Pelodiscus sinensis: one gene and its partners. The protein of the gene in region 3 binds, or shares a complex with, the protein of the main gene of each other region. Links are inferred from orthologs where the notes say so. Each region holds a gene or a part of one and is shown on either strand. Other genes may lie near its edges.

Region 1 (7,448 bases), about 7.0 Mb from region 3:
TACACCCAGGCAGCAGTAGCTGGACGAGGGGCTGGGCCAGGATCACCACAGCTGGATTGTGGCCTCCCCTCCTACCTGTGCTGTAGCAGGAGAGGGGCTACCACCGCCAGCCCTTCCTGCAGCCAAATGTGGGCCAGACTGCAGGCCTGTTCCAGGATTGGGGCGGGAGACAGGATGCTGCAGCTAAATGGGGCTGGGTACTTTTACTTTCTCATGTCAGTTTACTAAACTTAATTTTAAATAAAGTAAAATATTATGTTCAACACAAAAGGTTTGAACATTGTCTTTATTTACAGCAGGGGGAGGGATAGCTCAGTGGTTTGAGCATTGGTCCCCTAAACCTAGGGTTATAAGCTCAATCCTTGAGGAGACCATTTAGGGATTTGGGGCACATCTGTCAGGAATGGTACTTGGGTGTGCAGTGAGGGCAGGGGACTGGACTCAAAGTCCCTTCCAGGTCTATCACCCACAGAAAAATCAGTCAGGGACCACACAAATGAGAAGCAAAAAAACAACCCTTCCAAAAACTTCCCTCCCTCACTAATGTGGCCCTCAACTGAGATACCTCACTCAGATTTTGTGGCCTTCCCCTAGGCTCTGGGGTGGGGCCAAAATGAGGGGTCCACTCTGTTGAACAGCGCTGCCAGTGAGTGGGATGATAGGATCTGTGTGAGAAGCAGTGTGCTGTCTGACCGGGGTGTGTGCAGGAGTAGATGATGAGGCAGGGGTGCAAGATCTGGGTGGCACTTGCTTTTGTGACTTGTGCTGTTCTCAGGCAGTGGGAGAAGCCTCCAGGCAGCACATCTGGGTGCTGCTGTTCCCCCAGCTGCAGGAGTGGGAGTGCGCAGAGCCGTGAGTGGTTCTGCTTCTTCCCCAATCACACAGTGAGGCTCAGGGCTTTCTCCAGCCAGCCTGCCCTCCCATCCCTCCCCGCAGCAAGCTGGCACTGACTCCAATCTCGCAAGGAGTGCAAGGTTAGACTGCCAGCACGGGCTCCCCATTGCCGGGGGGAAAGCAGGGGGAACTGAGCTCAAGTTGCGAGCCATATTTGGCTCATAAGCCATAGGTTACCAAATCTGAATGTAATGAACAATTATTAATTATGTGATAGTGTGGCACTTCTTAAGGAGTGATAGGCCTCAGTTCAACTATGAGAAGTGCCAGTTATTTCTCCAGTGGGAGAAAATGAAGGTTATGTGGCTAGTAGGTTATGCATACCAATGGGGAGAGGGAAAAGTGGGCAGCTGCCCAGGGGCTTAGTGATTTAAAAGGGCCCAGGGTTCATGACTGCCATTACTGAAGGGCTGGCTGGGGGGAGGCAAGTCCCTCTTTGCCTCTCTGCTTGAGGCCCTACCTTTTCCAGGGGCACAGTGCCCCCCTTATCTTGCCCAGGGTCCTGATAAGTCTATTGTTTGCCCTGGGGTCAAGTGACCTTGTGACGGACTGGGCCGGGTCTGGGCACAGCCAAAGGCATCTGCTCAGGGCGAATTGCTCAAATTCAGGGCTCTCTATAGCCCCCAGACTGGAGATCTTCCCAAACAGGCCACAAACCAGACCCACAGAGTGCTTTAGCTGCCTGCCTGGCCAGCCAGAAGCCTCACGAACAAAACCCCTCTGACACTCCAGCAATATCCATGCCCCAGATGGCGCCGGGCCTCATACACAGGTGAGGGGTTTTAGAACCCAATCTCACCTTCTCCAAACAAGTTCTGTCCGGTTCCAAGAAAACAGCCACAGATTCCAGGTCTACTTGCACTCTGGACCTTACTCACAAGATCATGCTGAACCAATTATTTAGAATCTAAAGGTTTATTACTAAAAGAAAAGAAAGCATGAGAGTAAGGTTGTTAAAGTATCATGCATTACATGCATCGACTCTCCCAGGTCTCGATGCAGGCTTGTAGCAGAGATGTTATAACTGCTGGCTTAAAAGTCCTTGGTGTACATCCTATGTCACGATGGATCTACAGTTCTTCCCGGCTCGTGATTCCCTGCAAGGCTGCATCTGGGGTCAAGAGCAGATCTGAAGACCCCATGGAGGATGCCACATAGCCCCTATATACCTCCTTCCTCGTCTCTTCTTGGCTGCAGCAGGTTACCTGGCCAGAGGCCTATCCCTGTGTTCCCTGCTGGTAGCCCTTAGGTATCAGTCACCATTCTTGAGGTGTATCCTTGGCCTATAACGGGCTATTGTTCCATGGAGACTTGCTCATTAGCATGTCCATAGGCTGAGCTTCCTTGCCCATTGCTCAACCATATACAGAGAAACACACAAAGTACATGCTTACAACTTCTCACACAGACATTATACAATCACATGAATAGCATATATAGAATCAGTATAAGATAAGCTTTCATTTGACACCTCACATGACTCCTTTTGTACCACTTTTTGGGGCAACCCCCTCCCCCCCACGGGTGCAACAGTGATCTGGCTGCTCCCCTAAAATCCAGTAACGTGACAGACCTAATCAGTCTTCTTAGAAGGGAAGGCCCTGCAGCATAAAGGAACTCTGACTCAGCTGGGGAAGAAGGACTCTCTGTTTAAGAGAAAAGCGCCAGGGTATGTCTACACTAGCCCCCTAGTTCAAATTAGGGAGACTAATGTAGGCATTCGAAGTTGCAAATAAAGACCGGGATTTAAATAAGCCCTCATTACACGAGGTATAACAGTTAACTCAAACTAAGGACTTAGTTCGAGTTAACGTTTGACTGCCGCGTGTAGCTGCGGGCAGTTAGTTCGGACTAGGGGGATTTAAAAATGGCGCCCGGATGGAAAGATGCAAATAAAGCCTGGGATATTTAAATCCCGGGCTTCATTTGCAACATTGAATACCTACTTTAGCCTCCCTAATTCGAACTAGGGGGCTAGTGTAGACATACCCCCAGTGAATTGAAGTTGGAGCTTGGAAGGCTAAACTCCTGATTGGAGAGACAGAGAGATGGAACTCACTGTGACTTAGCTCAGGAAAGAGGGACTCAGAGGACTAATGTGTGAAAGGGCTCAATAAAGTGGACCTCAGAAGGTCAGTATTTTAATTATCTTTTGGATTATGATGTGGAGTGACAAGGAATCCAAAAAGGAAAACTGAGGCAGAGTAACCTTTGGCTGCAACACTAACAATTTTAAGAAATTACAAAGGAGATAGCTTCTGCTCTCAAATACGTGTGCGCAAACTTGGAATAACTTGTTTGCCTTCCATGAAATTATTCTAGATTTATACCCCCGTGACTGAAAGCAGAAAATGACCTAAACATTTTTAAATAGCATAGCCCTTCCCCTCTCAACTAAGGGCAGAAGAATCACAGATCAGGTTTTAGCTTAAGATATCATTTTCCCACCCATTATCCCAAATGCGTCTGATGAAGTGGGTCTTTACCCATGAAAGCTTACGCTCCAATAACTGTTAGTCTATAAGGTGTCACAGGACTCCTCATCGCTTTTGCAGATTCAGACTAACACAGCTACCCCTCTGATACTGGACACTATTATCCCAGTGTGTCCTCCAGCAAAACTGAAGACCCAAACCCAAATGTAAAATTACACATAAAAAATGCCATGTTTATGCCTTCTCTGTTCTTTAAGAAACAATAAAGGGTGAGCACAAGTGCTGACACTTTGCAGATCACTTTTTCTACAGAGTAATTTCTATTAAGCTTGGTGACCCCCAACTTCTGATTGGATTATTAGATTTATTCCCTCAAATACCATATTTCCTGTACTCTAATTTGGCCAATATTGATATATATTTTCTACATTCAGTCACAAGGTCTTGATTAGACTAGTAATAGAAATGTAGCCGTGTTAGTCTGGTGTAGCTGAAGCAAAATACAGGACTATTATACTAGAACTTCTAACCAACTTTGAAACTCTTTACAAACATATCAACAGGTAGGTTTTTCAACAAGCTTCATGTGGACAAAGAATTTAAACACGTTCACAACTTAATGTACAACCGCAGGTCCCAAAGAATAAATTTCTTCTGGGCTGCTGTTTGCAGGGGTTCTACCAGGAGCCAGCTAGGATGCAACACAAAGGCCGGCCGTGGGGGGCCAGCGGAGCTAGTGCATGAACGGCCCCGCCCCGCCCCAGGCACTTCGCCACTCTCCTTCAGCGAACCCGCCTTGCCTGCCACTGGCTAAAACCCATCCGCCCACCGGCTCTTCTAGCCTGTCATTGGTCAGGGCCTACCTCTAGATCCCGCCTTCCTCCCGATTCGCTGCCCTGTGATTGGGTATTTTATGGTCTTCTCTTCGGGCACCCTGGTTCTGTGCTGGGCCTCTCCGGGCCAGAATATTTGTGCGCTGGGATAGGGTATCTTGGTGACCCGCCCCTCCTGGCACACGGTCCTGTCATGGGGCCGCTCTCCTTTTGGCCACGCCCCTTTTTCCTTGGCCCTTGCCCTCTGTGTCACGGAAGCGCAGAGGCATTGGGTGTGGGCCCTGCCCCCGCTTGACGTAAACGCGTGTGATTGGCCACCGCGTCAGGCTGAGTTTCCGCTGCCGGGCAGGGGTGCGGGGGCGGCGGAGCCGGAGCGATGGAGCGGCCGGAGCAGCGCGCCGGGGAGCCCTGCTCCCACTTCCGCGCCAACGGCTGCAGCCTGACGGAACACGGGGCTCTGCGGAACGGATACGTGCGGGGCCTGCCCGGGGCCGAGACCCAGGTGTGGGGTCGGGGCAGCCGGGCGCGGTGCGAAGGGGCGGCCGGCCCCGGGGCTCCCCTGCGGGAGCGGGCGCGGGGTACCAGCTCTGCTGCCTCAGGGGTGGCTGGGGGCCAGCGGAGCCCGGCCCGGGTCGGGGCTCTTGGGCCTCCCGGCGCCGTAAGCAGGCAAACGGGCCGCGCCCCGCTAGGCTTCGCCGCTCGCGGGCTCTGCAGCGAATGGTGCCGGCTGCCAGGGGTCGCTCGGGCCCGCCTTGGCCTGGGCGAGACTCGGCCTTGTGGATGCCGCTACTAGGTGTGGCTGCGCGCATGGGACCTGGCCTGAGGCGCTGGCTGCCCCGCCGGCCCTGGCACCAGTGAAGCGGCTGCTCGCCCGCCTCACGGGGCGGGGCTGCAAGGGACCGAACCAGTTTCTTCTGTCACCCTTCAGGTGGCTCGAGGCTGCTCAGCCTTGCCGGCGAGAGGGACAGTGCTGTAGGGTGTGTGTTTGTCTAGGGTGGGCTGGGGAGGAGACTGCAGACAGCGCCAGAATGGCCCTCTCACTCAGCCCAATGCTCCATCTAACCTAGTGTCCTGTCTTTCAAGGGGAATTAATGGAATAAAGCATTTAAGAACTAATCCATCCCCTATATTTAGTTCCAGCTTCAGGCAGTCAGTAGTTTAAGGATACTCGGAGCCCCTTATTGGGTTGTCATCTCTGCTAAAAGTCATTGATGGATCTATTCTTTGGGATATACTTAATTCTTTTTTAAACCCAGTTATAATTTTTGCCTTCTCAACATTCCCTGGCAGTGAGTTCCAGAAGTTGACTGCTTAGTGTGTAGAAGTTGTTCCTTTTCTTTTAAAACTGCTGCTTATTAATTTAATTGGAATATCCTTGGTTTGTGTGACATGAAGAGGTAAATTATACTTCCTTATGTAACCCACACATCTAGTGGGTGTGGTTCACTGTCCTATGTAGTGACACTTAGACCACTTAACAGCAGAGTGAAAAGAATGTGTGAGCTCTACAGCCTAAGCTGAGAGCTGACTTTATAGCTCAAGATGTAGAGGTTCCTATACTAATCTCCAGCGGTCCCAGGTTCAAATAATCTGCCAGCAGGTGGTTACACTGACACACTTTCTCCACTCCATTCTTGATTTTACAGATCTTTGCAGTATCCTCACCAGTTGTATCTTCTGAGCTGAACAGTCTCTTAATCCAGAGATAGGCAACCGAGGTTAGTTAGTGGGCTGCATGAATAGCCATCTCAGTGGGCTGTAAGATTGTGGTAATCAAGTCTGTCTTCTGAAAAAGGGTAATTTTGCTAACTGAGCTTGCATATCTAGAATTTGCAGGATATGCCAATTGAACCATAGCACCACTTACATTGGATGCAGAGGGAGCCCAGGGGTTTCATGGTTAATGTGTGCAATCCGTATGCACCTTATTTTAAATGCCCTTGCTTTAAATGCTTGATGCTTTAGAAATACTGGGGGGGGGGGGGAACTACCCAGACAGAAATCATCAGAACTTGGCAATTCTGTGCATGTGCAATGGTAAACATAAAGTCTTGTGGGCCACATAAGAACCCTGATGGGCCACATGCAGCACACCATTGCGCTAATCACTTTTGTTTCCCTTCTCTGTAGGGTTTTTTTCCAATTCAAATACTCTCTTTTGAGATAGTGGGACCAGAATTGCACTCAGTATTCAAGGTGTGGGTGTACTATGGATTTACACAGCGGCATTATATTTTCTATCTTAAGGTACGTCTACAGTGCAAGGCTATTTTGGGATACCAGAGGTATCCCAAAATACCTACTTTGCATCTTTTGAACACGTCCCCTCTTGTGAAATATAGTGGACCTGCTATTTTGGCATCCCTGTAAACCTCGTTCCATAAGGGATGTCTCGAAATAGTGTGTTATTTCAAAATTTGGCACTGTATAGATGTGCCAAGTTTCGCAATAACCTATTTAGAAATACAATTGAAATAAGATACGCAATTTGTGTAGCACAAATTACATATCTTCTTTTGAGCTAAGGGTGCAGTGTAGACACACACTTAGTGTCTATTCCTTTCATAATGATTCCTAACTCTGTTAGCTTTTTTTTGACTACCACTGCACATTGATTAGATGTTTTCACAGACCTGTACATGATGATTCCAAGATCTTTCTTGAGTGTCAGCAGTTAATTTAGACCACATCATTTATATGTATAGTTGGGATTTTGCTTTGCAGTGGACGTTATTTTGCATTTATCAGCATTGAATTTTATCTCCCATTTTCTTGTCCAGTCACACAGTTTTGTGAGATCCCTTTGTAACTCTTCACAGTATCATCTACATGATTAGTCAGTAAGAGAAGGTTCTTAGAAGGAGCTACCTCTGCTGTGGCTCTGCAGTTTAAATGTAGTAAGAGCCAGGTCTGCAGGCAGCCTGCTGCAGAGCTAGTTCTTGGACCCACGGTGAGTGGAGACTGAGTCAGCCTTGCTCAGTCATGGCTCCTGCCAGGTCCAGTGGCTGCTGTCATTGGTGGAGGAGGTTCCCAGCAGGGCAGTGCTGCATGGAGCCTGGGGTCAGCTGCTTTGAGATGCTGAGGCAGCATTTCAAAGGGACAGTGCCACACAACTGAGCCGGGGCAATCAGCTGTGTGGTGCTGCCCCTTTGAAACGCCACCATGGCATACCCATTAGAAAGAGGCAGCGAGGGAGGGGAAGGATGTGATACTTCAAAGTGGCAGCGCCGCTTGAAGCCTGGGGCCAGATCCCAGACTCCACATGGTGTTACCTCTTTGAAACGCT
Region 2 (7,049 bases), on a different chromosome or scaffold from region 3:
TAATGTATTTCATCCAAGGGAGCCGACAGGATTGCTGAGTCCTTGGATAATTTAGGGAGGGAGCGGCTCCAAACTCCTAGAAGGGGTGGGGCCTCATCCGGAAAGGGCAGAGCTGGGCAGCCAGCCCCCAGCGCTGCCCAGATGACACACCACCTCTTGCCCCTGCTGGCCTTCAGAACCAGTTGGAGCACTCTCCAGCATCAATTCTAATGGGCCTGGGTTCCAGTATGAGTCTGCATTGCTATTTTGAGCCCTGCAAGACCAAGTCACAACTGACTGGGACTCTTCTCCTCAATACTCTGGGTCTTCTTTTTTTCTTTTCTGCATAGACACAACCTTAGTGTTTGTTGCAGGACTGGGTCCCTAGATGGTAACCAGATTGTTGTTAATGTAGATTACTGCCTATTGCTCTACATTTACAGGTACATTTTGAGAGCTACTAGTTAGCCAGTTTTTAATCCATTTAATGTGTGCCATGTTCATTTTATAGCATTCTAGTTTTTTAATCAGAATGTTCCATGGTACCAAGTCAAAAGCCTTACATTAACACGATTACCTTTATCGGCCAAATCTGTAATTTCTTCAGAAAGAGATCCAGTTAGTTTTATAGGATCTATTTTCCATAAGCCCTTAGTGATGTGCATTAATTACCTTACCCTCTTTTTAATTCTGCATTAGTCAAGTCCCAGATGCTCCAATATCTTGCTCATGATCAATGTCAAGCTGATAGACCTATAATTACTCATACCATCCCATTTTCTCTTTTTAAAAATTGGCACAGCATAAGCTTATTGAAAAATCAAGGTTCAGAGTTCATCAAGTGCCTTAGCCAGCTCTTTTAAAACTCTTGGATGCAAGTTATGTGGACCTTCTAATTTAAAAATGTCTAAATTTAGTAGATTCTGTTTAACAACTTCCAGGGACACTATAGAATGGAATAGAAAGATTAGCATCACCATATGATGAAGCCAGGTCATCTGTTTTTTCCTAAACATAGTACAGAAATATGAATTGAACATTCTGCCTTTTCTCAGAATTATTCACTGGAGTTAATATAGGGAGCTTATTTATTTTTACTTGAGAATTCACGGGATATATTGGGCTCATTTTGAGGCCCCTCATATGGGTAACATGGACTAGGCCCAGGTCCTCAGAGGTTGATTTCAATAGAAGTTAGGAGTCTAAAAATCTTTGAGGGACAGACCCTACAACTCAGGATTAAAAGTGGAGTTTAGATCTCAAGGGGAAATCCATCCCTCCCATGGGGCAGAGATAAGAGAGAGAATGAACTAATCATGGCACTTACTGCCCTACATCCCAAAAACTACAGAAATAAGGAGTATTAGATCCAGCATAAAGTAGAACAGCATATGCAAGCTCAGGAATACTTGAATCACTTTCTTTCTGCTACTAAGATGTGTCCAAAAATAGCATAGTTTCTTACCGGAAGGTGGTCAGTCATTTTCACAGAGCATCTTTACTGGGAGACTGAGAAACCATAAGAATAAGTCCAATATGAAGAAATGGTCATCATGCCTTTTTTGGGTAGGTGTGTTAGGTGCAGAGAGACCAGATAGAATTCATTCTTGTCATCCCTAATTTTATAAGCGTTCCATTAGTGATGCCAACAAACCACAGGATACCACTATTACTAGGCATTCACCCCACCTACTTTCTGTCTGTCCTTACCTAGATCTATTTCCCAACTATCATCTCCCGATCCCTTACTGTAACTAACCTTCATTATTTGCCTATTACTTCCCACTCATAATAACTAACCCATCACACAGTCACTGAATGGCTTAATGGAGTCTAGCAAAGACTGTGATTAATATACAAATGAGGCAGTGTTGTCTAGTAGGCTGAGCAAGAGTCAAAGGCCAGGAACTCCTGAATTCTAACCCTAACACCAACTCACTGTGTGATTACATTTTCAATATAGTTTTTAATAACTCTTGTCATTGTTTTGGTATCTCCATAACAATGAGTGAATCTGTCATCTTCATCAACAAAAGGCTGCTAACATCTTACTGATACTGAGAAGGTAGGTCAAAGGTTACTCACAAAGGACTAAAAAAAGATAAAATCAGGCCTCAGACTTGTGTAGAAGCGGATTGGTTGAATTGGCAGTGTGGTTTGTTATGCTGCCTTTCTGATAAATTAAAAGGGCCTGAAAAGGTTTTTATCTTTGTACAGCTTTTGAATACCTTGGAAGACTTTATGGACAATTAGAGAAGTTGGAGGATACTGACATACCAAGAAGTACAAGTTGTTTCATTGAAGGGAGAAGCGAATTTTAGGGGGCAAATTTAGGAATTTACAAAAAACAACAATACCCTTGAAAAAAAAAATTATCTTTGTAAATTATTCAACAACACTTTCTATCAATCAACTCAAAGCTAGAAAAACTCTAAAATACACACTTCTGAGTCCTCCAACACTAAATAAATAAGGGAAGAGATGATTTGACATTTCTGATACTTCTAAAAGAAAAAAACACATTTTCAGACCTTTATTATATATATATATATATATATATATATATATATATATATATATATATATATATATATATTTGGAAGAAAATCAGTTTCAGCCCCTTTAAATTATTTTGTTTTGCAAGTCTTCTCTAAAAAGAGACAGACAGACAGAGAGGAAATACAGTTTTATTTCAGTACATTACCATGGCAAGAGATTTCAGATTTGGCAAAAACAATTTCTAATCCAGATTTAAAATCTGGTTAATTCAACATTTAAATGCTGGTAATTTGAAAAGTTTCCTTTGTGTGTTTGAGTCAAATACTGAGTTTCATTTTCTATATTGCAACCTATAATTTGCTGGCAAGAGAGCAATTTTCTTTTATACTTTTTATTTAAACACTTCACTCATTTTTGCAGATTAAAGCCTCACCCAACTTTACTTCAAAATGTAGATTATAAAGCAGTTTTCCTTTAGTCAGAAAAATTAAGATCCTCCAAGTTGCAGTTTTAGTTGTTAGGACATAGATACAATAAAGATCTCTTCCTAAAATCAAACTGATAAGCAACCCTTAATAGGAAAAAAGCATCTTGAAAACCTGGGTAAGTAAAATCTACAGGACCCGGATTCTGCAAAGACACATGCTTGACATTAAGCACAAGTGTGCCCTTTAAAGTCAAAAGGCCCCAATCCTGAAAGCCTGCACATAAGGAATTCCATTTACTGCTTACAGGCATAAATGTTTTGGGGCTTACATTTAAAAATAAGACCCGCTCAAGCCCACCTGTAACAAACTGTTTAATATTTATTTGTCATTTGATTGCATAGCAGTCCGTTTAATTCCATTGTTGGCTAAAATAATGCACCTGAGACCTAGGCTCACAGTGCTACATAACAATAGTCCATACCAGAAAGGTCTCACTACATCAAAATTTTTCCTGAATAAAGACTAGGGACTTGAATCAGAATATCTAGGTCATGAAGATATAAAAAAGGAAGTGCTAACCTCTAATAGAGGCCCACATATGCTAACACTCTGCATTTGCTTATCTTTACTACTGTAAGTAGTTCCCTTGATTTCAAAAGGACAACTCAACAGTAGTAGATAAATAGCATAAGTGTTTGCAGGATCAAGGCCAAAGAAATCTCTGCTGATTTTGGTTACTGGGCCTATTTCAATACGAATGGTGGCTGATATCAAGATTTGTATAAATTCAAAATATATAGCTTTCCATTAGAAACTATTACTGCCTTCTTAATATTCTTAAATTTTCTATCGTATTTGTTTTAAGAAAAAGGTAGCATGCTTGTTCCAGTGTAAAAAGTCTTAGTGCAACCTTAAAATTGTGTGGGTTTTTTTTAAAACTTTTTAAACTTTCAGCCTTTTAGTAATCCACACAAACAGAATAATAATCTATCTCTCGTCCAAGTGGTGTCAAGGGACAAAAGTTTGGTACTGGGGAGTTATTTAGGAGGCAGTGTATCTTTAACCGTCTCCACCTTGGAATCCGCCCACTTTCTTTCTAGCGGCAGTAATCTTGTTGACTCAGGTGCCGTGTTCATACAGTAACCAGCGTGAGCTGCACACTTCATAGTTTTTTAAAAGCAGACCTGTTAACATGTACCTGCCATTCTACCTCACTCGGGCTCACACAGTATAAAGGTAACAGTTTGGTTTTTGATCTTGCACAAAGATAGTCCCTCCTTTCCTGGAAAAGCCAGACAGACCAGTTGGATACCTTTCAAGCCTCAACTCAGAACTTTATCATCTCATCCCTCTGCCTTTTAAAAGTAGAAACACCTGAGACATTTTTAAGACCTGAGAATCCTTAATCATTTAAACAAATGGCTAACCCCAATGCAGTCGGCAATGGACATCTCCATTCTCACCAGAAACGGAATAAACTCTTAATAAGTGGAATCTATAAGAAAAACGGGATTGCTAAAGAAGTCAAGGTAAGATTTAACTAACCTCTTCCTTCATTGCCTGAGCTCTGAAATCATTGAGACGAGCAGTTACAAATGTATGTAATAAGCTAGCTTTGTAAAAATCTGTCTTCGTTTTTCATCAAATGGGTGGCATAGTATTGGTTTTTCTGTTAAGTTTTACCCACGTAGGATCTAATCCTGTATTCTCTGCATCGTTGGCTGAAGTGTTATGGGTGCAGAAGCACTATCAAGGAAAGCCTTGTATGTAACTAGACGTTGGTATTTCATATTAGAAATAGAGAAATCCTACACACACCTTCCAGCTGAGGTTCCCTAAAGCTTTCCTGATCATTTTGCTGGTATTGGTTTGACAACTTGGCTTAGCCTCTTAGAAAGTTTTTGTAGAGTGTTTTTATGATGATTTGACACTGCACACATGTGACTTAGAAATAAGGAAGGAAAAATGAGGAAGGAGAGAGGTGGCTTTTGTAGTTGTCTGTAGCTTGATTTTCCTGGGGATTATACTGGTGTATGCCTAGCATTCTGTGTATCTTACCAAGGTATGCTTAGCTGGCTTAACAATTGATCTTTTTTTATTTACACTGATTTTACAGTGCTAGTAGTTCTTAAAAATCAAATTAGTCCACAGACCATTCTTTCAACATGTTGATGTGTGACTTGCCTCTTTGAAACCACAGCCTTTCATTTGCATGAGTGCCTCCCGGCACCTAATGAGAGGTGCATGGTTTCCCCCAGATGGTACGTCAAAATCACAGGTGTTCTCTTGTTAAACAGGTTGCATGAACTAAGCTTTAAAAGATGTCTGTGGGTGGAGCCTATCGTTATCCTACATGTACTGGGTCTTCAAACCAACACTGTGCTGGGTTTGAGACTCTATTGATGGCTATATCATATTTGAGCTCCAGTTTCAGTTGGGAATAGAAAAAAGTTTAAGAGCTAAATGTTGTGCTTTGGGAAGTGGAGCAGTAAGCAACACAATCTTGTGTCTGATTGCGTATCTGGTGTATTTTTTTTCCTAATTTGGCCTGTGCCTAATGCTTTAGGCAATGACAGTACCCAAATTGCCAGTCTCAGATGCATGAAAATCAAGAAACTTAAGACAGAAGTCTTTTCACAATGAGACGCTCATGCATTTATCATCCTCATTAAGTCACACACCCAATGTAAAAGTGAGTGGGTGCTGGCCCCAGTATGAGTGGCTCTTGGTTGCTGGCCCAACCCAAGTGTGAAAGAGGAAAAAAAACTTGTGCAATGACAGGGAAAGCCATTTCTTGGAATTTGCTCCTGTGAATCAAATGTGAATTTCAATTATATTGTTTTAAAAACTAATCCTGTTTCAATTTCTAATGTAATGTGTTATTTGCATTGAGAGCAAATTCTGAGCGGTGCGACTCACTCCCCAGAAGTAGTTAAGTGGCTGGACAAAGAATGAGAAAATGTGACAGAAGCAAATTCAGAGGCGTAAAAAGAGTTGACACCTATTAATACAGGTTTACCTCCCTTAACCGGGACTCTCTCGACTGGCAACAGCCATGGTCCTGCTGGACCACAAATGTTCCTGGACCACAGAGCCCAGGTATAGGGAGGTCAGGCTGTGGGGCAGGAGCAGCGGGGGGAGGGCCCAAACACTTAGCCAGGAGCTATGGGGCAGGGTGAGGAAGGGCAGGTGGCACAGTGGGGAGCTCTATCCCCTGCTGCCTGGTGTCATGGGGGCTGGGCAGTGGCAGCCACGGAACTCTGGCCCTGGTTGTGGAGCTCGGGGACAGCAGCGGCTCCAACCATGCCAGAGCTCTGGCCCCAGCCGTTGAGCTCTGATTCCAGAGGCAGCCACAGCTGGCCAGGCAGCAATGCGGCTAGGCTGGAGCCCTAGCCAGGGGCAGCAGGACAGCCCAGGCCATGTTGGGAGGATCCTCCCTGGCCCGTCAAATCCCCTCATTCAGGACCGGTTAGGACCCGAGGGTGCTGGACAAGGGAGGTCCAACCTGTAATAGGAATATAGCCAGAAAACTGGAAAAGCACGTCCTTGGGGTGACAGTAACAAAACAATCACTGGGCCATGGCGGTCTGGTTATCTGATGTATCTGTAAAAGTTGGGGATTATTACCCTTAAATACCAAATGGCGAGGTTAGTCAGTCATTTTGCTGTTGAGGAGGCTTGAGAGTGCGGGGTGTTTTTTGTTGGGGGGGGATTGAGTTGACAGAGGGCTGCCACTGGTTCTGCCTCTTGGTTTCCTGGGCCTCCTGTTTCTTGTTCTGTTGGACCTCACAGTTGCTGTAGTTCTCGGACCATGTCCTGGGACACCACAGCCACCCAGCACTGGAATGCTTCCTCTGCTGATGATAAATTTGACCCTTCCTTGACGGATGCTCCACTCCAGCAAGAAACCACCAGTGAGGTAGATCCCTGTTGCACTTGTAGCCAACCAACCTGGGGTCAGGTCCTGGCTGGATTTTCCGTTGCTCCACCACCAACTGGTGAATGTTTCTGAGGGCTGCAGCCATTCAAAGTGCCCATCTCAGCACCACTGGGGCTGCCACTGCTGCTGTGAAGAGACGGCGTTCTAATACTATCAGTTTTAAATGGGTCATGGGTGGGACAGAATCATTATCCCCAATCTAA
Region 3 (7,804 bases):
ATTGCCAAATAGCTTGTTTGTTTTTTCCTCTTTGTTTAGGAGACTGATAATTATTTTATGGAAGCAACTAATGGCTTTTTATAGGGTAGTTTGGACTTTTTGTCAAACAGAATACAAAGTCACTGTCAAGTTAATGGTTAGTCTACTTGACAAAGCAGACTCCCAGAAGCTAACCTCTTGCTTTTGATTACCTAATAGCATTTTTTCTGTTGCCATTGTTATCGGTATTTCTCAAAGTTTTCAGATTGGTGACTCACTGAGAGTAAAATATTTTCATTGCCTATTTATGTTTACTTATGAAAGTGAGAGAAAAAAGCTTGAATTATAAGCCTTTATAATTAATATATGTATTTTGAGAAGTTAACAGAATATTTGACTTTGAAGGATAAATGTGGACAGGGATTGAGATTTTCTTTGTATTAGATGAATCACATTTTCAATGCTACAGCCTCTTACATTGCCTTTAGTCATTTCCCTGGGGCCCACAACGTGTTTGAGAAACACTAGTATAGCCATACAATATTTATGTTCGTTTATTTTATTTGATGAAGAAATCTGGAATTTTGTATTGGGGCATTCTGGCCCTCTTAAGAATGGGTGCCATGAGCCCAACTGGTGGTGGGGATTTGGCCCTCTCATAAAGAGAATTTCTAGGAAATGTAGTTCTGGACAGAAATCATGTCTCTGCTAGAACTCCATAAGGTGAGCCTGGAGCAGAATTTGAAGTGACTGGCATGGAGTTAAGTCCTAATTTGGTCTTTCCAGGGTGACAGACAGAAAGCTGGGAAACAAGCTACAAGGGTGGAGGAGTGGAGACAGGTTCAAGATGAAGAGCAGGACAAGATGAAGATAGTCAGAGAGGGAAGAGACACAGGCACACATGAGCAGAGTGACATTGGCGTGTGAGTTACACATGCATTTATCCAGGGGCTGAGTCTCAGGATTTCTTTTCACCCTCACTACTCTGCCCCATTGTTATCCCTGCCCAATAGGGCAAAGGAATTGTTGGCCAAGGAAATGGCTAACAAACTACAGAGCTTGAAGGTCAAAATGGACTACTTTAATACAGAGAGGTTACCAAAAAGTGTGTGTTATTTTCACACTGCCTCAGCAACTGTACAAACCTGGAAAGAAACTGGAAGGGAAACTGTGGTGAAGACATGTGACTGACACTTAAAAGAGCTCCCTTAGACAGTTCTTATGGATCCTCTGCTGATTTTGACCTAGAGTATTACCTATGCTTGTCCAAAAGGCAGCTGCTGTTTGTTTCAGATGTGGATCTTGCCACAGTGATCCATGGCTTTATCATTTTGGTATTACTGCAATGAGCTTTGCACAGAATTAAACAGCTAAACTAGAATATTAGAGAAGCAAGGTGGATCAGATGCAGTGTTTCCTGTAAGCTGTGCACTTGGGTTGCTAACCAGGAGAGATTCAAATGCTGCCCAGCTGATTAGCAGAGTACCCACTGACAAGAGCATGTGTTTCTACTTGTGATGCACATCTGCATATGCTTTGGTGCATATAACAAAAATTATTCCACACAGCTGGAAAAAATAGTGGGAACATTGGTGAGATGTTATATTTTATTGGGCCATCTTCTGTTGGTCTCTTTTTTGTTGGTGAGAGACACAAGATTTTGAGCTTATACAGATCTTGAAAGCTTGTGTCACCAACTGAAGTTGGTCCAATAAAAGATATTACCTCACCTACCTTGCCTCTCGATCACTCATACTTCAGATGGTCCAGAAGGTAATACTGCTGGGAGTATTATAAGATGCTGGTTTAAACTAGGTCTTTTATTGGGTCAGGCCTGGTTACCTCAGGTTTTCGCTGGTCCCCCCCCTTTGTAATACCATGCCAACTGAGATTATCTGAGGCTCTCAAACTCACAATTCCTTGGTTAATCATGAAGGGGCTCAGTCAGGCCATTTTCAGAGAGGTATCATTGGCTACAGAATTCTCTTTCCCCATTAGTTCACCAGAGACTCAATCTGTTCAACTTCAATTCACAATGCAAGGCTCATGTGTTCTTCAAAACTATTTCTGGGCTAGGGTAATGGGTATGGTGAGGGAAGAATTCTGTCACCCAAATTCTTTCTAAAGGAGCATATGTATTTTGAGACAGTAGGGCCTATGTGCAAAGAAGCACATCTTGGAGTTTTAGTTCTGTAAAACACAGTCTAAAGGGGGGTGGGAATTAATGTTAGAAGTGTAAATATGTTGACAAATGGCAGTTAAAAGAAATTAACTTTACAGCTATGTTCAAAGTCCAGCTGTATTTGAATATGCAGACTGCCATGAGTGACAAAGTAACTAGTTAAAATATAGTGTTGTGTAATTGCATTATCTTCATAATATTAAAATATCAAATGGTGTTCCACATCAAATTGTACTATGTATTACAACTCCAGCTACTGCTAAAATAAATAAAATCCTATGGTTTGACTTCACATTGTTCATAGAGGTATCTCTATATATGAAGCTATTCAGTCAGATTAGAAATGAGTTTTTTGTACTGTAGACTTACTTTCTATTTTGTAAATAAACTTTTCATTTATAAAAAATGAAATAATTTATTCAACCTTAAGGGAAAATAATTTAGCACAAGTTTCACCCTTTTATCCTATGAATTTTAGGGAAACTTCTTTCAAGAGATGATGGTGCAAATATGGCCTCTATTTACTGGAATGCAAAGATGTTTAATGTTGCAAGCTTTTTGTGAAATGCACACAGCAGCAATCATTTGGCAGTTTCCAGTAAAATTCAGCATTTTCTAGTAGTCTTGAAGTGTTAGAAATCTACTTTGTCAAATAGCAACACTGATTGATTATAGTAGCAGAATTCCAGCTGGAAAAGGATTATGACAGTTTGAGTCTCAGAGGGAAGAGTAAATCTTGCTGGCAGAGGAGCAGTTGAACATCTTAAGCAGGGTAATTCTATTCTAGTAATTGCTGTCCTCTCAATGCAGAATATGTAGACTTTTGCCAAAAATGTCTCAAGTTTAACAGTGAAAACTAAAAGTAAAACCCAAATCCATCTCAGTGGTAAACAATGTAAAATATGTGCATGAGATGAAGGCTATGTCCACACTGTAATCTTAAATCGACCTATGTTACGTCAATTTACAGCTACTGCATTAATTATATTGTGGTGACTGAGGTACACGTTACCCACCTGTTGGTAGTGTGCATCTCCACCAGTGATTCTTCCATCAACTGAAGAGCAGATCAGGAGTTCGGCTGCCTGGGCTTCTTGCTTTCCTGCTGTCACCAGGGGGCAACACCACATGGCTTTTCACCTCCTGATTCCTAGCCAGGAGCCACTAGGGGCTTCTCCCTTTTGGTAGGAAGATCTGCACCTAGAGTCCAGTTGACAGCTGTGATGCTGGTGAGGAGTGAGGAGCCAGGAACTCAGGCAGCAGAGCTCTCTGTTAGGAGTGGGGAGCCTGCATGGGAGCCGGGATAGGAGCCCAACTTGGAGCAGAGATCTAGCAGCAGTCTGTCTAGGGAGCTAGGAGCCAGCTTTCCTGTCAATTTCATTTGTATGTTTGTACCTCTTTGTACAAACAGGACTTATAGATATGTATAGTATATCTATTTTCCAAACTTGTGCTGTATTTCTGCACCCAGGCAGACTGGCATCAGCACTGGGCTTGCTTGATGGCCCCATCATGGGACATGAGCTGTACAATGAACCCATAGAAAGGAGCCAAGGACTACACCTTATCACTCAGCAGAGTATGCTGGCCAGGGTATACTACCCTACCAAGAAATACAATTTTTAATGATACATTTTAATTTGTGTACCAATATGGTATGCCTCACTCCTTGTTTACTAACTAGGGTCAAAACTTTGAGTTGCAGTTGTTTGAGGTGACTTGTATGCTCTAGGAGGCAAAATTATAGGCTCCTAGTGCTCAAAGAAAACTTAGGCTCAAAGAAAACTGAAGTTTTGACATCAAACCATCTGTCAGCTTTGAAATCATGTGATCCAAAAAAATAAACCTTTACATAAAAGATGAAAAAGAACCAAAATGTAAATAACCTAATATTTCAATACAAACAAGAGGTGCAGAATTACTGTGATATGTGAGAACAACGAGAAGTCCTGTGGCACCTTATAGACTAACAGATTTATTGGAGTGTAAGCTTTCGTGGGCAAAGACCCACTTCGTCAGATGTGATTGTGGAAGCTACTAACGACTGTTAAATTTCCAATGATTGCTATTAAAAATATCTATTGACGTTCATCTGCGCAATGGTAACAGTGAATGAAGTGTTAAGAGTAATAAAAATATGCTTTCAAAAAGTAAATAAAGGAGCAAAACGCCATTTAACAGTGCATTGCAAGAAAACTGCAGTCCAGTCCAACAATCTGAACAAAAGACAAGCCAAATATGTTCCCTGCTGCAGCTATGAGGTGTTAGAGGGGCATATAAATACATGCGCGAGAGAGTCTTTTAAACATTGACAGTTATCGTATGTAGAATACTTCACTGACTCAAACCTGTTTTAACAGCTCCATTGGAGGCACCAGTTCCTCTGCTGTGCACTGTACCCTTAAGGGCACAGTCCTGGGAAGCACGTGATGAGATGCGAGAGCGGGGATCTCCTCCGCCCCCATTGCTTTTTTTTTTTTCCAGCCGCAGCAGAGGGCTCATCCCCATTGGGTAACTGTCACCCCCGCCCCTCTGGCTGCGCAGCAAGCCAGTCAGAAGCAGGGCGCACGTGGTCACCCCACAAGGGGGCCGTTCCGAACAGCTGTTACTGAGCATGCTCAGTTCACAAGCGCATGCTCAGTACCATGAGAGTAGCCTGGGGCGCAGGTGGGAGACGTTCCCCGCCTACTCAGAGCGGGCTCAGTCAGGTTGCGGGGCCTCGCACGCCGCACGCAGACAGGTCCGGCAATGGCGCTAGGCTCGGCCTGGGGGCGGGTGTCGTGGCTCTATTACCAGTATCTGCTCGTCACCGCGCTCTACATGCTGGAGCCCTGGGAGCGGACGGTCTTCAGTATCCTTCCGCGGCCCGGGCCTGGGTTCCGTTAACTGAGCGGCAGCGCGCGCCGGAGGATAGTGAGCCGGCCGGGGAGGGGGCGTAGCACGTGGCTGGCCTCTAAGGGGAGTGAGGCGGAGGTGCGGGGGAGGGGTGATGGCCCCGCGTGGGGAGGGGGCGGGCTCGGGGCGCAGCAGTGGCTTGTCTAGGGCCTGCTGCTCCGCTTCGGGCGGGAGCTGGACCCGAGTGGCTGCTCTGCTGCTGTCCAAGCTGTGAGCCTTCGCGTGCTTCTCTGCGCACTCAGCGGTGGGAGCGCCGCGGGGTGTGGCTCGGCCTCAGCCAAGCTGCGAGAGGTGCTTGCGGGTGGCAATAGGTGGGTCTGGCCTCTTCCCTGCGCAGGCTGCTCTGCTGTCCCTGCAGCCCGCGTCCGAAGAATGCTGTGAGGTCAAGGCACCGGGCTGTGACTTGGGAGGTCTGGGTTTGATTCTGTGTTCCCAGGTGCTCTGAATGCCTTGGAGCACTTCTCTGATGTTGAGTGCCTGGTGTGCCCCTTCCTGTCTGTAAAATGGGCCCGATAACACACTCTTGGCAGGTGTATGGTTTATGCCTTTAAGTGATTTTTGGGAGGTGGTAGGCCCTTGTTCACATAGCTACACTGGCTAACCCCCCTGTATGCTGGTAGTTTAAAAACTCAAGAGTTCTCTTGGTCTGTATGAGTTGATGATTTAATCATGTCAGATAGTTGCCGTTATAACTACACTAGTTTTTGAACGTGTCAGTGGTGCAAAGTGTATAATGGTTAATGTGGTACTATTTCTTTTGGCCCATGTGTGAGGAATATGTTCGCTCTTTGCTTGTTAAAATCACATTCATATTCACTATCTGTATTGTTACAACAGACTAACAAGTGCTGCCAGCTGTGAGAGCAAGCAACAGAGTATCTTTTAGAAAGAAGTAAGGTGTATCCAGTATCTGTCTAGCTTAAACTTTCACAGGCCTCTTTTTGGATTTATACCTCTTCTATCCATTTAGCAGTTTAATTCATTTGAGTCAGAGATGGGTTTTTGTCTTGATGCAATTTCTCCTTTCATTTTTTTTTATTATGCGATTTTTTTCTGTGTGTTAACCTGAGGAATTAATGTTTTTATTAGCCAAAAGTACTTCATGTATTTCTTCATATTTTGCACACTTGAAAGGAAAACGTGTATTTCATGTAACAAGCAAAGTAACTTATATATGTTGCATAGTCATGCAACTCTAGGTTTCCATTTTGCTTGGTCTTTAGTTTACTGACCCTGTAGCTGCTGAATTTGCCCGTTTTATGTATTTCACTACAAAATAGACTGCTAATATGAAGGTTCAATGTAGAGACCTATATCTAGAAAATTGTTTAATTGAGTAGTTGTTTCTATAAGATAATGTCTTCGGGGTTTGACTCTCCAGTGCCTTTCTATTCTGAATGTGATAATTTGATCTGTTAAAACAATACCTCATATTTGCAGCCATATTTGCAGATGACCTTTAAAAGTACTTGCAAGGAGCACTGACAGGAGAAGAAATAAATTAATGTAACCGATAACAAAGAGAATAGGGTGGTAGTAACAATAATGATGTCCTTGTTGGGGTAATGGTCTGTTGTAAAGAAAATATCTGCTGTTAGTAAACACAGCTACATCTCTATTACTATATGGACTATTTGAGCTTCAGGTAATTTTTTTTCTACAGTAATGGTAAAAAATGGAAAGCATACAGAACAAATGAATGGACTTGAACATTCATGTTCATGTACATTCATGTAGTATGTTGAATTTCTCAAGTTAGGTAGTCTATACTTTTGTAATAATTCCTGGCTCCATTTATGCCAGGTCCAGTATCAGTGAAGAAAGATCTTTATTTTCTATACTTCAGGAGTGTTATGATTTGTCAGAGTAATTAGGCTTGAACATTGACTTCATTATCAGTTAAGCAATCTTCTGATTCTGACAAAACATAAGTAACTGAAGGGTGTGTGTATTTGTCCATATTTTGTTTACAAACTGAAACACTAGTTCCTGCAAGTAGCATTTAAAATTGATTTGACAGATATTTTCAGGATTTTTTTATTGTATTGAAGTAATTGCTGAGTATTAGGGATATCAACGTGTAGGTGACTATACGATTAATTGATAAGCCTAGGCTTATCTGTTAATCTTGTTGACTACATGCATTTCTCCCCCCCCCCCTTGCTGCCTCAGTATCCGAGACAGCAAAGAGGAGAGCTGGTGCTGGGGAGAGTTGGCTTAAAATCTAGTTCCCCCTAGCACTGGCTCTGTGGTACCACCTGCCCCCCGTCCCATGCTCCTGCTTCTGTTAGAAGGGACAGCAGGAGAGGCTGCCATGAAGCAGCCTCTGTTGAAGGCAAGCCCTGTGGATAGAGGATGCTTTGTATCCCACGGAGCAGCCTCTGTCTGCGGTGAGCCTTGGCTTGCTGTGGGCAGCGGCTGCTTTGTGGCAGCAGCCCCTGCCCATTGAGGGTCCGAGCTCACCACTGTCAGAGGCTGCTCCACATCCCATGGAGCAGCCTCTGTCTGTGGGGAGCTCATATCTGCTTTGGACAGGGGCTGCTATCACCTCACGCTGCTACCTCTGATAGAGGCAGTGTGGGGTAGTCTGAGGGCTCCCTGGGAGTGGGGCTGGGAGAGCACTGGCTGCCAGTCCCACTTCTGGGAACTATCATATAGTGGTGTAACCACTAAGATTACATATAGTTATGCAGCTATTCAATTATCTGATATCTAACATCCCTACTGTGTGTACTAGGAATGTAAGTG
Region 4 (7,631 bases), on a different chromosome or scaffold from region 3:
GCATATTGCTAATAAGACAAGAAGTCCTTTTATTAGTTGCAAATTTCTTGCTTTTTAATTTGGCTGAATGTCACCTTGTACTTGGATCAGGGCATTCCTGATCTACTGTTAGTGTATCTCCAAGCCACTACTCATTCAATTTGTTCTTCTCTGAGCCCTGCTTACATCTCCAAGAAGTGAGCCAGGGCACTGATCGCCAGCTATCGCACCCTTAGACTGGTTCACTGCCCAATTCCCTGTGGGCAAAGCAATGGATTTCAGGAAGGCAGATTTTGGTAAGCTCAGAGAGCTGGTAGAGCCATGAGAAGCAAGACTAAAGGGAAAAACAACTGACAAGAGTTGCCAGTTTTTCAAAGGGACATTATTAAGGGCCCAAAAACAAGCTATTCCGCTGCATAGGAAAGACAGGAAGTACGGCAAAAGGTCACCTTGACTTAACCAGGAGATTTTGCATGATCTAAAAATAAAAAAGGAGTCAGAGTGGAAACTAGGACAAATTACAAAGGATGAATATAAACAATGCAGGTATGCAGGGAAAAGATTAGAAAAGCAAAGATACAAAACAAGCTCAAACTAACTACAGACAAAGAGAAACAAGACAAGATTCTATAAATATATTGGAAGCAAGAGGAAGACCAAGGACAGGGTAGTCCCACTGCTCAGTGAGGAGGGAGAAACAGTAACAAGAAACTTGGAAATGGAAGAGGTTAATTACTTCTTTGTTTCGTCTTTACCAAGAAGTCTGATGATGAAGGAATGCCTAACAGTGAATGCTAGTGGGGAAGAGGTAGGTTTAGAAGATAATAATAATAAAAAAAGAACAAGTTAAAAATCACTTAGAAAAGTTAGATGTCTGCAAGTCACTAGGGCCTGATAAAATGCATCCTAGAATACTCAAAGAACTGATAGAGATCTGAGCTTTTAGTTATCTTTGAAAAATCATGGAAGACAGGGGAAATTCCAGAAGGCTGGAAAAGGGCAAATATAGTGCCCATCTATAAAAAGAGAAGAACAGACCAGGAAACTACAGATCAGTCAGTTAAATTTCTGTGCCAGGAAAGATAATGGAGTAAGTTACTAAGGAATTTATCTGCAAATACCTGGAAGATAATAAGGTGATAGGGAACAACCAGCATGGATTTATAAAAAACAAATCATTTCAAACCAATCTGATAGCTTTCTTTGACAGGATAAGAAGTCTTGTGGATAAGGGAGAAGCAGTGGATATGGTATACCTAGACTCTAGTAAGGCACTTGATACAGTCTCACATGATATTCTTATCAATAGGGCTCGCTGAACCACAGCGAGCCCCGCTTGCCAGCCACGCTGTCCGGTGATCTGTGAATGTGCAGATCCTTCTGCGCATGCACAGATCGCCCAAACCCGGCTCTTCCAGGTTGCAATCTACTCACCACAGGCGAGTAGCTTGCATTATTTGTTGAGCCCTGCTTATCAATAAACTGGGCAAATAAAACTTAGATGGGGCTACTATAAGATGGGTGCATAACTGGCTGAATAATCACTCTCACAGTAGTTATTAACAGTTCACGATCCTGCTGGAAGGGCATAACAAGTGGGGTTCTGCAGGGGTCTGTTTTGGACCGGTTCTAGTCAATATCTTCATCAACGATTTAGATATTGGGATAGAGAGCATGCTTATTAAGTTTGCAGGGTTGCAACTACTTTGGAGGATAACTCAAAATGAGCTGGACAAATTGGAGAAATGGTCTGAAGTAAATTGGATGAAGTTTCATATAGACAAATGCAAAGTACTCCACTTAGGAAGGAACAATCAGTCTCACACATACAGAATGGGAAGCGACTGTCTAGGAAGGAATACTGAAGAAAGGGATCTAAGGGCTAGAGTGGACCACAAGCTAAATATGAGTCAACAGTGTGACTGTTGCAAAAAAACCAATCATAATTCTGGGATGCATTAACAGGAGTGTTGTGAGTAAAATACGAGTACTCATTCTTCCACTTGAAGCCTAATCAGAGTAGATGCGCTGATTAGGCCTCAAGTGGAGTACTGTGTCCAGTTCTGGGCACCATATTTCAAGAAAGTTGTGGAGAAATTGGAGAAGGTCCAAAGAGGAGCACAAGAATGATTGAAGATCTAAAAAGCATGACCCATGAAGGAAGACTGAAAGAACTGGGCTTGTTTAGTTTGGAAAGGAGAAGACTGAGAGGGGACATGATAGGGTCTTTGGTATCTAAAAGGGTGTCACAAGGAGAAGGGAGAAAAATTGTTCTCCTTGGCCTCTGAGGATAGGACAAGAAGCAGTGGGCTTAAACTGCAGCAAGGAAGGCTTAGGTTGGACATTAGGAAAAACTTCTTAACTGTCAGGGTGGTTAAACACTGGAATAAGTTGCCTCGGGAGGGTGTGGAATCCCCATCTCTGGAGATATTTAAGAGCAGGTTAGATAAAGGTCTATCAGGGAGGGTCTAGATGGCACCAGGTCCTGCCATGAGGGCAGGGGACTGGACTCTCCAGATCCCTTCCAGTTCTAGCGGTCTAGGATCCTAAGATCAGTTACACGAACCCACCATGCCCCAGCGCCAAGGAGATTCCTGAGCCGGGCCCCAACCACCACCCTCCATGCCCCTCCCCCAGCGTGCCCCGCTGCCAGACCCGCGCAACTTAAGAGGACCTGCCCACCCCCCAGGAAGCAGGGGGGCGGGGAGCTACTGCGCTCTCGGCCAAAGCAGCGCCCCCGCCGGTGCCACCAGCGCCCGCTCCCCAGGGCGGGAGTCTCACCTCATAGAAGGCCTGAACCATCTCCACCAGCACCCACTGCTGCCCCGTCCCCGCCGCCGCCATCGCCTGCGCCGCTTCCAGGCCGCGGCGCGCACTGACGTCAGCCGGCGCAGGCAGAACCGGGGGAGACGCTGATACGTCACTGAGCCGTGACCACGCCCTTCCCCGCCGCGCCCCCGAAACCCGCGTGTCGTTAAGCAAGGACCTGGGGAGGGGAAGGCGGGGCGGGGCCATTGGCCGCTGCGCGCGCGGGTCCTAGCGCCGCTGCGCTCGGCGCGCCCCACGGGCATAAATCGGCCCCTGGCCTCCTCCGTGCTCGCCGACAGGCCTGCGCAGCGCCTCTTGCGCACTGGGCAGGGCCGGCAACTGGCCGCGTTTGCTGCCTTTACCTGCGCGAGCAGCGGCCCCGCCTTCACTGGGGGCACCCGGGCCGTGACCCAGGGTCCTAGCGGTGCAAATTTCTGCCGAGGGCGGGTGTCAAGAGCTGTGAGGAATATACATTGTCCTCGTTTGTAATAGGGGGCTCGAGTCCCTGCTGGATCCGCTTTACGTGCGTGTCGCTAGTTCTGCGTAGTCCCTGACACATCACAATACACCTCTTTCATTTAAATAACCTCGTGACTGAATGTCTACAATAAACCAACTTCCTCCTTATGGTTAACACTGGTCTGTCCCTTAGTCTGTGTCCCGTGCGTGAGAGAGGGGGATAACGAAGCTCTGCGTGTAAGACAGAACAGGGGTACGAGCAGGGCTACTGCTGCCAATCAGTGACAGGACAACGTGCAGGAGAGACACGAAGAGCAGAGATGAGGGAAAATATTATGCATTGAAAGAAGAAAACACAACTGTCCTGATCCCAGAACTAGAGCAAAGAGATAGCCATGCTTAAGTACGCATTGCACCATGGGAGGAGGGAAAAGTTGAGGGCAGAGTGTTGGGAGGCGGCGTTCAATACAACAGTACCTGTAAGAAATTTAAGTGTCAGAGGATCAAAGCAGAGGATTAGAGTAAAGCAGGAGAGAGTCCTCAGAGCAGGAAAGTTTTGGGGCATTCAGGAATAAGGGCAGGGGGGATGTAGGAAGTGCAGGAATCTGGGCACACAAGCTGCACACTTTCTCCTTGATAGGGGAAGAAGAAAAGCAGCAGAGTTCCAGGTGCATGCAGCTGCAACCCCCCTCTAAAGGCTGCAGGTCAAGTCTAGGAGTTGGGGCAGCCATCAACAGGGGAGGAGGGACACACACCTTCAGCCAGATCCTTTCACCTGTCTGGTTGCCTGCTTCTTATCAAAGCATCCTGGAGGAGAGCTCCAGGAGCTGGTTGGGAGCCTCTGCAGCCAAGTGCCCCACCTTCTTTTTGCCAGAGCCCTGCACCGGGGCATGCTGCTTTTCACCTCTGGATTTGGGTCCCCCTGTGGCCGTAGGCCTGCAACGTGTGCCATGTCCTGCAAGCCACCTAGTTGTGCCCCGCTGAACACTATTTCTTTCTTTTTCATGGCGTTGGGGCAAATACTTGAAAACAGTTTCTAGGATTAGTTTTGTTCATTGTCACAAAATTCTTTTATTTAGAACACATTGGGTAATTACTAAACTTCCAAGAAAAGTTATATAAAATTATATGACTGGTTATTGAGCATTGTTCCCCCAAAGGTGCCACCTGCACAGGAACACACCAATAATTTGAGCCCCGCCCACCTCCTCACCAAAGCTGCACAGTGGCTGCTCAACTGTTCTGGGGTGTGAGGCTGCCCTGCCCAAGGAGCAGTAGGGCAGCTACCATGCAGGCCTGGCCCCAGAGCTGGAGCTGCGAGACACGTGGTGGGTGGCAGCTACTCCAGCATCTGGGGCTAGAGCCAGAGCTGCATGGCGGGTGACTGGCAGTTGCTCCTTCAGCAGTCCCAGCTGGGGCCAGGGCCAGAGCTGGGTCACAGGCACGCAGTGGCTGCTCCAGCAGCTGCAGCTGGGGCCAGAACTGGAGCCATGTGGTAGAGAACTGGTCTGGCAGATGTTCTGATGGCCCTATTGGGGCCAGAACCGGGGCGGCATGGTGGGGGGTCTGGGGTGCTCCAGCGGCCAGCGCCTGGTAGGGTCACGTGGCAGGGGTGCACTACCTGGGAGAGAGTCTTGGGGAACAGCGCCATTGGTTGCCACAGTGGCACACATCTGAACAAGTGCATATGACCTTGTTGGTGCAGCTGACAAAGCTCACTCTGCTCATGGATGGAAAATCTTAGAGGGAACACTGTTCTTGAGTAAATGTATTTGGCAGAAAGGCTAAAAGGACACTGTGCAGAATCTTTTCATTTCTGTTTTTCACAGTTTGATAAATGTGCCAGATGTTTCTTGACAAGCACTTACAAAACCAAATTTATTTACCGTCTCTCATCACCCTTCCCATAAACCTTGGCCCTCTTCAAACTGCAACGTCTCTCTATCACAACTTAATCAGTTCTAAGTAGCAGAATGATTTAATTGTACATGAAAATGTTAATGATACATATGTTGCGTTCTGTTATGCCACATTTGCTATGACATTGGTAATCCATCACTGATGATGATGACAATATTGTTGCAATTCTCATAGAATGCTATGGATATGACTCCACCAGGCTCATCAACAGAGGGAGTGAAGAGGACAATTGCCCCAGGGCCTGGTGATTCTCAAGGGCCCAGGGCTTGTGGCTGCCACCACTGCTACTGTGGCAGCAGCAGTTGCTGGACTCCTGGGCCTTTTAGAATTGCCATTAGAGTGCCACACCGCGTGCTCCATAAGGGGTGGGGTGGAGACTGGTCATCACATTGTAGCTCCCTCAATGGCTGTTCTGACACCTGCCCAATTGTTGGTTACTTTAATTGCTGTTGTCTCTGAAGATCTAATATATGGCAGGTTCCCCAACTTATAGCACATTTTAGTGACAATCATATAACACAATCTCCTAACTTCATATGCACCAAAGATTTGTTTCAGAGAGGTAGCTGTGTTAGTCTGTTTCAGCAAAAACAACAAGGAATCCAGTGGCAACTTAAAGATTAACAATTTTACTAGGGCTTAAGCTTTCATGAGTTGCAACTCACTTTGTCACATGCATGAAGTGAAAGAATCTGTATCCCTACCATCTGATTCTTTCACTTCATGTATCTGACACAGTGAGTTGCAACTCACAAAACCTTATGCCCTAATAAAATTGTTAGTCTTTAAGGTGCCACTGGATTCCTTATTGCTTTTACTAAAGAGACATATATTTAGATAAAACAATGGGTTTCAGCTGTTCATGAATTTTCCCCTAATATTGTACATGGCATGCTTTATATGCAAGATCGCAATTATATACAAAATAGGGAATAAGGGGGGGATACAAGGTGCCCCCCCGAGTTATATAGAGTGTCACGTTGCTCTTCAGATTATCTTTGAAGAGCTTATATGGAAAACCTTTCATTTGTCCAGATTCAGCTGCCCATACAATATCTGTTTTGGGAGACAGTGGTCTTCCATTCTGATGACATGGCCAGTCCTCCTAAGTTTGCTCACAGAGAGGCAACAAGGTGGGGGAGACAGGACCTTGTGGTTGCGGGAGCTGGCTTAAAAGTTGGTTTCGCCCCAGCACTGTCTCTGCAGTACCGCTCTGTCTGCCTCCTGCTGCCTCTATTACAGCCAGCGGGGAGAGAGGAGAGGTCTGAGGAAGGATAGGGGAGGTTGCTGCAAAGCAACAACAAATCTCGCATTGATCTGGGATGCTGCACCTCTACATTTCAAGTGCAGAGCCATAGTGCTGGTGGCTCCCGGAGCCGGCATGAGCCAGGACTGCTCAATTCCAGCTCAAGCTGGCTCCTGGAGCTACCCCCACTGTGGCTCTGCAGAGCGGTCCTTATCGACACATCACGTAATCGATACAATATGTATCAACTACACAATTAGCCAGATAACCTCAATTTAATATCCTTAGTGCCAGATGCTTCAGAGGGAATGAACAGAACAGGACAATTAATGAGTGATCCAACCCCTGTCATCCAGTCCCAGCTTCTTGCAATCAGAGGTTTAAGGTCACCTGGAGCCTATGGCTGCATCCCTGATCATATTGCCTAATAGTCATTGATGGACCTATCCTTTGTGAACTTATCTAATTCTTTTTTTAACCCAATTATACTTTTGACTTTAACAGCATCCCTGGCAATAAAATCTACAGGTTGACTGCATTGTATGAAGAAGTATTTCCTTATGTTTGTTTCAAACCTGCTGCCTATTAATTTCATTTGGTCATCCCTGATTCTTATGTTATGTGAAGGGGTAAATACCACTTGCATATTCATTTTCTCCATGCCGTTCATAATTTCATATCTTTCTTTAATTGTATCTTTTCAAAGATGAACAGTCCCGGTCATCATACAGAAGGTATGTCTACACAGCAACATTATTTTGAAATAACTAGCGTTATCAAATAACTTAGTCCATGTCTACACAGTAGGAAGTTATTTCAAAATAATTGTGAAATACTGTCAAACTGGAGGACTTCTTACTCCGACTCCTGTCACCCTCATTGTACAAGGAGTTAGGGAAGTCGGAGGAAGAGTACTCTATTTCAAAATAAGTGCTGTGTAGATTCTCCCAATTTTGAAATAAGCTATTTCAAAATAAGCTATGCAATTGACATAGCTCAATTTGCGAAACTTATTTCAAGTTAAGCCCTGTGGGGGGAGACACCCAAAATCTCATCCATATCCTTACTCATTTTTTGCACTTCTCTGTACCTTTTCCAGTTCTATTATATTTTTTGAAATGGGGGCAACAAGCACTGCATATCTCATTCAAGGTATGGGTGTATCATGGATTTCTAAAGTGGCATTACGATATTTTCTGAATTACTGTCTATCTCTTTT

The links.
Region 1: the proteins of SPTSSA (region 3) and SPTLC2 are in contact, whole or in part, in a cryo-EM structure (PDB 7K0K), measured with the Homo sapiens proteins. The link is inferred for Pelodiscus sinensis from reciprocal best matches to the Homo sapiens genes SPTSSA and SPTLC2. Residues at the interface, in NP_612145.2 of Homo sapiens: Trp15, Tyr18, Gln19, Leu21, Leu22, Val23, Thr24, Ala25, Tyr27, Met28, Leu29, Glu30, Pro31, Trp32, Glu33, Val36, Phe37; in NP_004854.1 of Homo sapiens: Leu73, Gly77, Val80, Leu81, Phe84, Leu87, Arg88, Leu91, Leu126, Arg129, Ile130, Tyr156, Met475, Pro476, Ala477, Lys478, Gly480, Ala481, Arg484, Glu485, Asp533, Leu534, Leu535, Gln536.
Region 2: SPTSSA (region 3) and SPTLC3 share a complex: the UniProt entries of both Homo sapiens proteins name them as parts of the serine palmitoyltransferase (SPT) complex. The link is inferred for Pelodiscus sinensis from reciprocal best matches to the Homo sapiens genes SPTSSA and SPTLC3.
Region 4: SPTSSA (region 3) and SPTLC1 share a complex: the UniProt entries of both Homo sapiens proteins name them as parts of the serine palmitoyltransferase (SPT) complex. The link is inferred for Pelodiscus sinensis from reciprocal best matches to the Homo sapiens genes SPTSSA and SPTLC1.

What each region holds. Positions count from the first base shown.
Region 1 is NC_134714.1:41,663,638-41,671,085, forward strand, and holds the start of SPTLC2 (serine palmitoyltransferase 2), read left to right. Parts: upstream 1-4,429; 5' UTR 4,430-4,538; coding exon 4,539-4,664; intron 4,665-5,517; exon of another isoform or gene 5,518-5,880; intron 5,881-7,448. UniProt on the Homo sapiens protein: Component of the serine palmitoyltransferase multisubunit enzyme (SPT) that catalyzes the initial and rate-limiting step in sphingolipid biosynthesis by condensing L-serine and activated acyl-CoA (most commonly palmitoyl-CoA) to form long-chain bases.
Region 2 is NC_134713.1:188,490,056-188,497,104, reverse strand, and holds the start of SPTLC3 (serine palmitoyltransferase 3), read left to right. Parts: upstream 1-4,038; 5' UTR 4,039-4,324; coding exon 4,325-4,435; intron 4,436-7,049. UniProt on the Homo sapiens protein: Component of the serine palmitoyltransferase multisubunit enzyme (SPT) that catalyzes the initial and rate-limiting step in sphingolipid biosynthesis by condensing L-serine and activated acyl-CoA (most commonly palmitoyl-CoA) to form long-chain bases.
Region 3 is NC_134714.1:48,626,274-48,634,077, forward strand, and holds the start of SPTSSA (serine palmitoyltransferase small subunit A), read left to right. Parts: upstream 1-4,803; 5' UTR 4,804-4,909; coding exon 4,910-5,012; intron 5,013-7,804. UniProt on the Homo sapiens protein: Component of the serine palmitoyltransferase multisubunit enzyme (SPT) that catalyzes the initial and rate-limiting step in sphingolipid biosynthesis by condensing L-serine and activated acyl-CoA (most commonly palmitoyl-CoA) to form long-chain bases.
Region 4 is NC_134716.1:49,114,017-49,121,647, forward strand, and holds the start of SPTLC1 (serine palmitoyltransferase 1), read right to left. Parts: upstream 3,010-7,631; 5' UTR 2,995-3,009; coding exon 2,761-2,994; intron 1-2,760. UniProt on the Homo sapiens protein: Component of the serine palmitoyltransferase multisubunit enzyme (SPT) that catalyzes the initial and rate-limiting step in sphingolipid biosynthesis by condensing L-serine and activated acyl-CoA (most commonly palmitoyl-CoA) to form long-chain bases.